Linked DNA regions of Callithrix jacchus. The protein of the gene in region 1 purifies or fractionates together with the protein of each later gene. This does not show direct contact. Links are inferred from orthologs where the notes say so. Each region holds a gene or a part of one and is shown on either strand. Other genes may lie near its edges.

The links. The genes of interacting proteins can lie anywhere in the genome.
Region 2: the proteins of TXNIP (region 1) and NLRP3 purify together in Homo sapiens (affinity purification with western blotting, with the first as the bait; 4 studies listed by BioGRID). This does not show direct contact. The link is inferred for Callithrix jacchus from reciprocal best matches to the Homo sapiens genes TXNIP and NLRP3.

The regions. Positions count from the first base shown.
Region 1 is NC_133519.1:8,436,188-8,439,935, reverse strand, and holds the start of TXNIP (thioredoxin-interacting protein), read left to right. Parts: upstream 1-1,472; 5' UTR 1,473-1,493; coding exon 1,494-2,035; intron 2,036-2,138; coding exon 2,139-2,286; intron 2,287-2,397; coding exon 2,398-2,500; intron 2,501-2,630; coding exon 2,631-2,887; intron 2,888-2,991; coding exon 2,992-3,148; intron 3,149-3,255; coding exon 3,256-3,407; intron 3,408-3,536; coding exon 3,537-3,572; 3' UTR 3,573-3,748. UniProt on the Homo sapiens protein: May act as an oxidative stress mediator by inhibiting thioredoxin activity or by limiting its bioavailability.
Region 2 is NC_133520.1:38,247,449-38,251,096, reverse strand, and holds part of NLRP3 (NACHT, LRR and PYD domains-containing protein 3), read left to right. Parts: coding exon 1-795; intron 796-3,648. UniProt on the Homo sapiens protein: Sensor component of the NLRP3 inflammasome, which mediates inflammasome activation in response to defects in membrane integrity, leading to secretion of inflammatory cytokines IL1B and IL18 and pyroptosis.

The DNA.
Region 1 (3,748 bases):
GGGAATACAGACGAAGTGTTCCCCAGCTTTGCAGGTAGAAATTGAACAGATGACGGGATAAAGCAACAGGATGTAAACACGCCCGTCCTATTTCCGTTCCAGAGAACAGAGAGAACAGAAAGAGGGTACAAGGGGGTGACGAACAGCACAGGCACGCAGCCCCAGCCCTCCCCCCAAGGGGCTGGAAGGGACATCAGTCCCACAGGTCCAATGAGGCCTGAAAGTTCTCCTTTCCTTCAGAGGTGGTGGTGTTTTTTATATTTAACAGGGATGCGGGGCAAGAGAAGGACAAAAGAGCTGTTGCTGGACAGTAACACCAACCCGCTCCACAGCCCCAAACCTAAGCGTGTTCTTGGAACCATGGAATTGTTTCTCACAGACTTGCTATTTATGAGTCAGGAATAAACAGCAGGCTCTAAAGAAATTTCACTGACCAAGACTAGGCATGAAATTCCCTCAAGCACGTATTCCTTTTACCTCCTAACACCGCTCCCAGACCAGAAACGTCCACACCCGCCCTCCGATCGCCCGTCGCCCTGGCTAGGTTTTAGGGTCAGTGGGAGCCTCCTTCCAGTGGGCTCCAGGGAAGACGCTCCGCAGCCCCCTCCTTTCCCTCCTCCCTCTCCTTCCCCCCCTCCTCCCGCTGCTACGGAGCATAACAACCATTTACCCCGCCAGGAGCACACCGTGTCCACGCGCCTCAGTGATCTCACTGATTGGTCGGGCTCCTGGTAAACAGGGACTGAGCAGCCAATGGGAGGGATGTGCACGAGGGCAGCACGAGCCTCCGGGCCAGCGCTCGCGTGGCTCTGCGGGCCCAGGCTACTATATAGAGCCGTTTCCGGCTCTTGCTTGAAACTAAGCTCCCTTTCTCTTTAGAGGAGCGTTTGTAGAGATCGGATCTCTTCTCCAGCAATTGTGGGAAAAGAAGGCTTTTTCTCTGAAATCCTTTAGTGTAACCAGCGGCGTGAAATTTTTGGAGGCCTTTTCAAAAACCTAGTAGTTAAAATTCATTTGTCTGAATCTTACTTTAAATTTAAGCTCAAACTGCTTAAGAATACCTTCATTCCTTAGGAAGAGTGAAATAATTTACTGCAAAGGAGGTTCCTCGATTTGGGGCTTTTTTTTTTTTTTTTTTATTCCACCCTCGTTCCTGACTCTTAAATCAACTGTCCCATCATGGTGATGTTCAAGAAGATCAAGTCTTTTGAGGTGGTCTTTAACGACCCTGAGAAGGTGTACGGCAGTGGTGAGAAGGTGGCTGGCCGGGTCATAGTGGAGGTGTGCGAGGTGACCCGTGTCAAAGCCGTTAGGATCCTGGCTTGCGGAGTGGCCAAAGTGCTCTGGATGCAGGGATCCCAGCAGTGCAAACAGACTTCGGAGTACCTGCGCTACGAAGACACGCTTCTTCCGGAAGACCAGCCAACAGGTAAGAGGCCCGGTTCATTGCTGGAGGGTGAAAGCTGGTAAGAGAATAGAAAGCGTAAACCCGTATGAAATGTTTTGAGTTGCTCCGTTTGCGTGGTTTGAATTACGTGTTGTTGCTTCCTTTTATCTGTTTTAATTTGCAGACATTCTCCCCCCACCCCACCCCCCAAAAAATGGGTGATTTGTATAATTTTTTATGGTGCTTGTTTCTTAAAGATGATTCTGGGGGCGTTGCCTTGGGTAAAGTCTTATGTATACATAAGTTGCTTATTATTTGCTTACCTCTGTTTGAGATGTTAAGAGGAACCGTCCTGGGTGAATCTTTAAGCATTGCAGGGCTTGGCAATTTGCTGCCCTACAAAATACACCAGACTCTCTCTTTAAGAACAATATCGGATGATTTTAAAATATGTAGGATGAAATTGGGGGTACTTCATTCAGTACGTTGCATGCCACCCAGTCATTCCTTATCACACAGATGCATTTTAAGTGTAACAGGAAGCCTAATGGTTACTCGATTTTCTTTCCCTGCAGGTGAGAATGAGATGGTGCTCATGAGACCTGGAAACAAGTATGAGTACAAGTTCGGCTTTGAGCTTCCTCAGGGGTAAGTATCAGCTAAATGCATCTTTGAACTTCTCGGTCTAAATTGTCTTGTCCTCCTGACTGTTCTTGGAGAGCATTTAAAAATCTTCGTTTTCTTGACACAGGCCTCTGGGAACATCCTACAAAGGAAAATATGGGTGTGTAGACTACTGGGTGAAGGCTTTTCTTGACCGCCCCAGCCAGCCAACTCAAGAGACAAAGAAAAACTTTGAAGTAGTGGATCTGGTGGATGTCAATACCCCTGATTTAATGGTGAGATTCATTTTAGAGAGTGTATTCTTCTGGGTCACAGGGATGATAAATCCGATGTCTTGGGCATTAGATTGAAGCATCTCAAAACGCCTTTTGTCCCCTTCTACATAGGCACCTGTGTCTGCTAAAAAGGAAAAGAAAGTTTCCTGCATGTTCATTCCTGATGGGCGGGTGTCTGTCTCGGCTCGAATTGACAGAAAAGGATTCTGTGAAGGTAAAACACTAGTGCTGATGGTAGATATCTTAACAAGAACTGGGTTTAGGGCCAAGGGCATGGGACTGGGGTAGCGGAAATGTCATTAACTGAGTATCAGTTAATAAGTTTTCATCTTTCTCATTGCTAGGTGATGAGATTTCCATCCATGCTGACTTTGAGAATACATGTTCCCGAATTGTGGTCCCCAAAGCTGCCATCGTGGCCCGCCACACTTACCTTGCCAATGGCCAAACCAAGGTGCTGACTCAGAAGTTGTCCTCAGTCAGAGGCAATCATATTATCTCAGGGACATGCGCATCATGGCGTGGCAAGAGCCTTCGGGTGCAGAAGATCAGGCCTTCTATCCTGGGCTGCAACATCCTTCGAGTTGAATATTCCTTACTGGTGAGTAGATACAGGGTGGCTTCTGCAGAGAAATTGTTCCTCTGCTACCACAGTCTTGTTTTCTCCAGATCTCTGATCTAACAAACTTCCATCTTCCTTTCTAGATCTATGTTAGCGTTCCTGGATCCAAGAAGGTCATCCTTGACCTGCCCCTGGTAATTGGCAGCAGATCAGGTCTAAGCAGCAGAACATCAAGCATGGCCAGCCGAACCAGCTCTGAGATGAGTTGGGTAGACCTGAACATCCCTGATACCCCAGAAGGTGAGCCAGACCCAATGTCTTGTTCTGGTCTACCTGGGTTTGTGAAATTGTGATGCTCCAGCATTTCTTGGGCAGGCTTCTTAATGTGGCCGTATTTTTTTTTCTAGCTCCTCCTTGCTATATGGATATCATTCCTGAAGATCACCGATTGGAGAGCCCCACCACCCCTCTGCTAGATGACGTGGATGGCTCTCAAGACAGTCCTATCTTTATGTATGCCCCTGAGTTCAAGTTCATGCCACCACCTACTTATACTGAGGTGAGAAATTGTCATCCTTTCTGTTAAATTTGTCCTAAGCCTCTATAAGAAGTTGACTTAGCAGGATTGCTAAACTGGGCTGTTGTTCTAATTCTTACCTGAACTAAACTAGTCTGTTTCTTCCTTCAGGTGGATCCCTGTATCCTCAACAACAATGTGCAGTGAGCATGTGGAAGAAAAGAAGCAGCTTTACCTACTTGTTTCTTTCTGCCTCTCTTCCTGGACTCTCACTTTTTCAGAGACTCAACCGTCTCTGCACAATGGAGTGTGGCTCCACCTCAGCCTCTGACTCCCTAACATAGCGGGGTGATCAGCAGGCAATCTCCTGGGCCTTAAAGGAT
Region 2 (3,648 bases), on another chromosome or scaffold:
AGGAGGGAGCCAGGAGCATACCCTCTCTGCCCACCTCTGGGGGCTCTGCTCTTTGGCTGCAGATGGGATCTGGAACCAGAAAATCCTCTTTGAGGAGTCTGACCTCAGGAATCACGGCCTGCAGAAGGCGGAGGTGTCTGCTTTCCTGAGGATGAACCTGTTCCAAAAGGAAGTGGACTGCGAGAAGCTCTACAGCTTCATCCACATGACCTTCCAGGAGTTCTTTGCTGCCATGTACTACCTGCTGGAAGAGGAAAAGGAAGGAGGGATGCAGAATGTTCCAGGGAGTTGCTTGACGCTTCCCAGCCGGGACGTGACAGTCCTTCTGGAAAACTACGGCAAATTCGAGAAGGGGTATTTGATTTTCGTTGTGCGTTTCCTCTTCGGCCTGGTGAACCAGGAGAGGACCTCCTACTTGGAGAAGAAATTAAGTTGCAAGGTCTCTCAGCAGATCAGGCTGGAGCTGCTGAAATGGATTGAGGTGAAGGCCAAGGCAAAGAAGCTGCAGATCCAGCCCAGCCAGCTGGAATTGTTCTACTGTTTGTACGAGATGCAGGAGGAGGACTTTGTGCAGAGGGCCATGGACCATTTCCCCAAGATTGAGATCAATCTCTCCACCAGAATGGACCACGTGGTTTCTTCCTTTTGCATTGAGAACTGTCATCGGGTGGAGTCCCTTTCCCTGGGGTTTCTCCACAACATGCCCAAGGAGGAGGAGGAAGAGGAGAAGGAAGGCCGACACCTCGACGTGGCCCAGTGTGTACCCCCAGGCTCTCTCACTGCCTGTTCCCTCGGGTAAGCAGGCTCGGCTCCAGCAGGCGGCAGAGCGTGCCCTCTGCCCCCTCTCCAGCTTTTGCTTGGCACCTGCCTCCTCTGGTGTCTTTTCATCTATCTTCCAAATTTAGTTGCCACAGCTGTGTAATGATGCCGCCACCACCCATTTCACACCCCTTCATGGGCAAAGGTTGACTTGTGGTAGGTGGATAAATGGGGTGAGCAAAGAAACAATGAAATAAGGAACAAATGTTTTGGGAATGCTAGTTTAGCACAAGGGATGAGGGAGGTTGGAGGACTGCCTACAAAGGCTTGCCAAAAGAAACTGCTCGTCAGCTATTTGGAGCGCTAGTGCCTCATGGTCAGTCAATGTCTCTGGGGCAGGGCAATGCCAGACTCCGTCCCAGGAGCCCAGGGGACAGAAGGCCCTTAGAGCTGGAGGCTGGGGGAGGTTTCTTAGAAAAGCGCAATTTAAACTTGGCTTTAAGGGATGCTGGGACATGTGTGCGGGGAGAAGAAAGTAAAGGGATCCAGGCATTGAAGACCCACACAAGCAAGTCGGGAATGCAGTCTGAGAAGCATGTGCAGGTGGCAGTGGAGAGAGACTCGGTTTCCTTGGGAAAAATACGATAGCGATGAATCAAGGGAAACAGAGCAGAAAAGCTGAAACGCTCCTTCCAGGCCCCCATGTTGCTTTGCCCTGGGCTGTCGCCAGAAGTGTCTGCTCTAGGGTGTGCTCATGACTTGCTGGGCGGTTGGAAGCCAGTTGCCGAGTCTGTGCAGTGAAGCAGTTGAGTCAACTGACTTCTGTGTCCCTTCTGGGTTTCTTGTTCAGTGGCTCCTAAGAAGGACAGTGGTTGTAGGAAGGCGGGCACCCTGTGATGTGAGTTTAATCCGTAGAGAAGACAAACAGGAGGCTAGGCCCTTCCACTGGCAGCGGTGAGCTTCAGCTTCCTCTAGCCCTGACTCTGCCCGGCCAGGACACCTTCCTGGTCCTCATTTGGCCCAGAAGGACCAACTGCTCGCAGGGCTGCAGTGGAGGCTGAGACCCAGGTCCCTTTCATAGGGCTTGAGGTCCGTCATGGGACAGTCAGGAAACAGGTGTGGGTGTGTGTGCGTGTGCGCATGTGTGCACATGTATGTGTGTGCATGTGCACGTGTTTGCGTGCGTGTGTTTGCGCACGTGTGCACGTGCGTGCACGTGTATGTGTGCACGTGTGCGTGTGTGTTCATGCGCGCGTGTGCGTGTATGTGTGGGTGCATGCGCGTGTGTGTCACGGGCTCTGACAAGGAACTTGCAGAGTACCCAAAGCACAAGGGGATGAACCTGTTCACTTCTGCGGCGTGGGTGTCCCCCTCCGCCAGCTTCCAGAGGATGGGCGGAGTGACAGAGTGAGAGAAGGCCAGGGGCAGCCCAGGCTGGGGGTACAGAGTATTCAGAGGGGGCAGGCGTGGGAAAGCAGGGCCAGCAGTTCCGAGTGACTGGAAGAAGACAGATGTCTCCATCTGTCAGGCTGCCATAGCCAAATGCTGTAGACTGCTTGGCTCACAAAAAAAAGCAATGATCACCGTACAGTTCTGGAGGCGGGAGGCCCGTGGACGAGCACCGGCAGATGTGTTTGGTGAGACCTCATCAACATCACACACCGGTGAGGAAGCAGGGTAGGAGGCTCAGCACCCGTCCCTCTAGAAGGCAGCCCCACAGGGGAGAGGGGAGGGACACTGAGGGGCGGCCGCAGATGGCACTTTCTTGCTGCGTCCTCACAGGTGGAGGGTGAGGCAGCTCTCTGGGGTCCCTTTTGTCAGGGCAGCGATCCCACCGCGAGGGCTCCACCCTCATAACTTCATCACATCTCAAAGGCCCCAGCTCCTCATACGTCACGTTGAGGGTTGGGGTTTCAGCATATGGATTTGGGGCACACAAACATTCAGACCACAGAAACGGGAGAAGAGGAATAAGAGAAAAGCAGGCAGACCTACTTATTAGAAGTGAGGTGGAGGGTCAGGGAGGCCATGTCCGGGTCACACACCCGTGAAGAAGGCTCGCAGACTCGCACTGCTGCCCTGGCGGGGGCTCAGCACCCGTCCCTGTAGATGGCAGCTGCTGGCCAGGCGGGGTGGCTCATGCCTCTAATCCCAGCACTTTGGGAGTCTGACCGGGGCGGACCAGCCAGGCCAACATGGTGAAACCCCGTCTCTACTAAAAATACAAAAATTAGCTGGCTGTGGTGGCAAGCACCTGTAGTCCCAGCTACTTGGGAAGCTGAGGCGGGAGAACTATTGAACCCGGGAGGCGGAGGTTTCAGTGAGCTAAGATCACGCCACTGCGCTCCAGCCTGATGACAGAGTGAGACTTGTCTCAAAAAAAAAAAAAAATGTAGATGGCAGCTGCCTACCTCTGAGGACAGATTCTGACTGGAGCCCTGGTAGGGGCTCAGCACCCGTCCCTCTAGATGGCAGCTGCCTTCTCCCTCTGATGGCAGGAACTTGCTGTGTCTCAGCACTTTCTGAGAACCAGAAGCCTGGGCATCTGTTAGAAACGCAAAATTGTAGACCCAGTTGTAGACCCGGGGAGGAAGACTTTGCATCTGGATGAGAGCTACAGGTGATTCAAAGGTAACTGCATGTGTGCTGCAGTGGCTCATGCCTGTCACCCTAAGTTTTTGGCAAGCCAAGACAGGGGGATTGCTTGAAGCCGGGAGTTCAAGTCCTGCCTGAGCTGCAAAGTGAGAGCCCTTCTCTACGGAAAAACAAAAGCAAAACGTGACTGCATGTTTGAGTCACCTGGACATTTTAAAAGATCCATGTAGCTGGACACAGTGACTCCTGCCTGTAACCTCAGCTACTGGGGAGGCCGAGGCAAAGGGGTTGCTT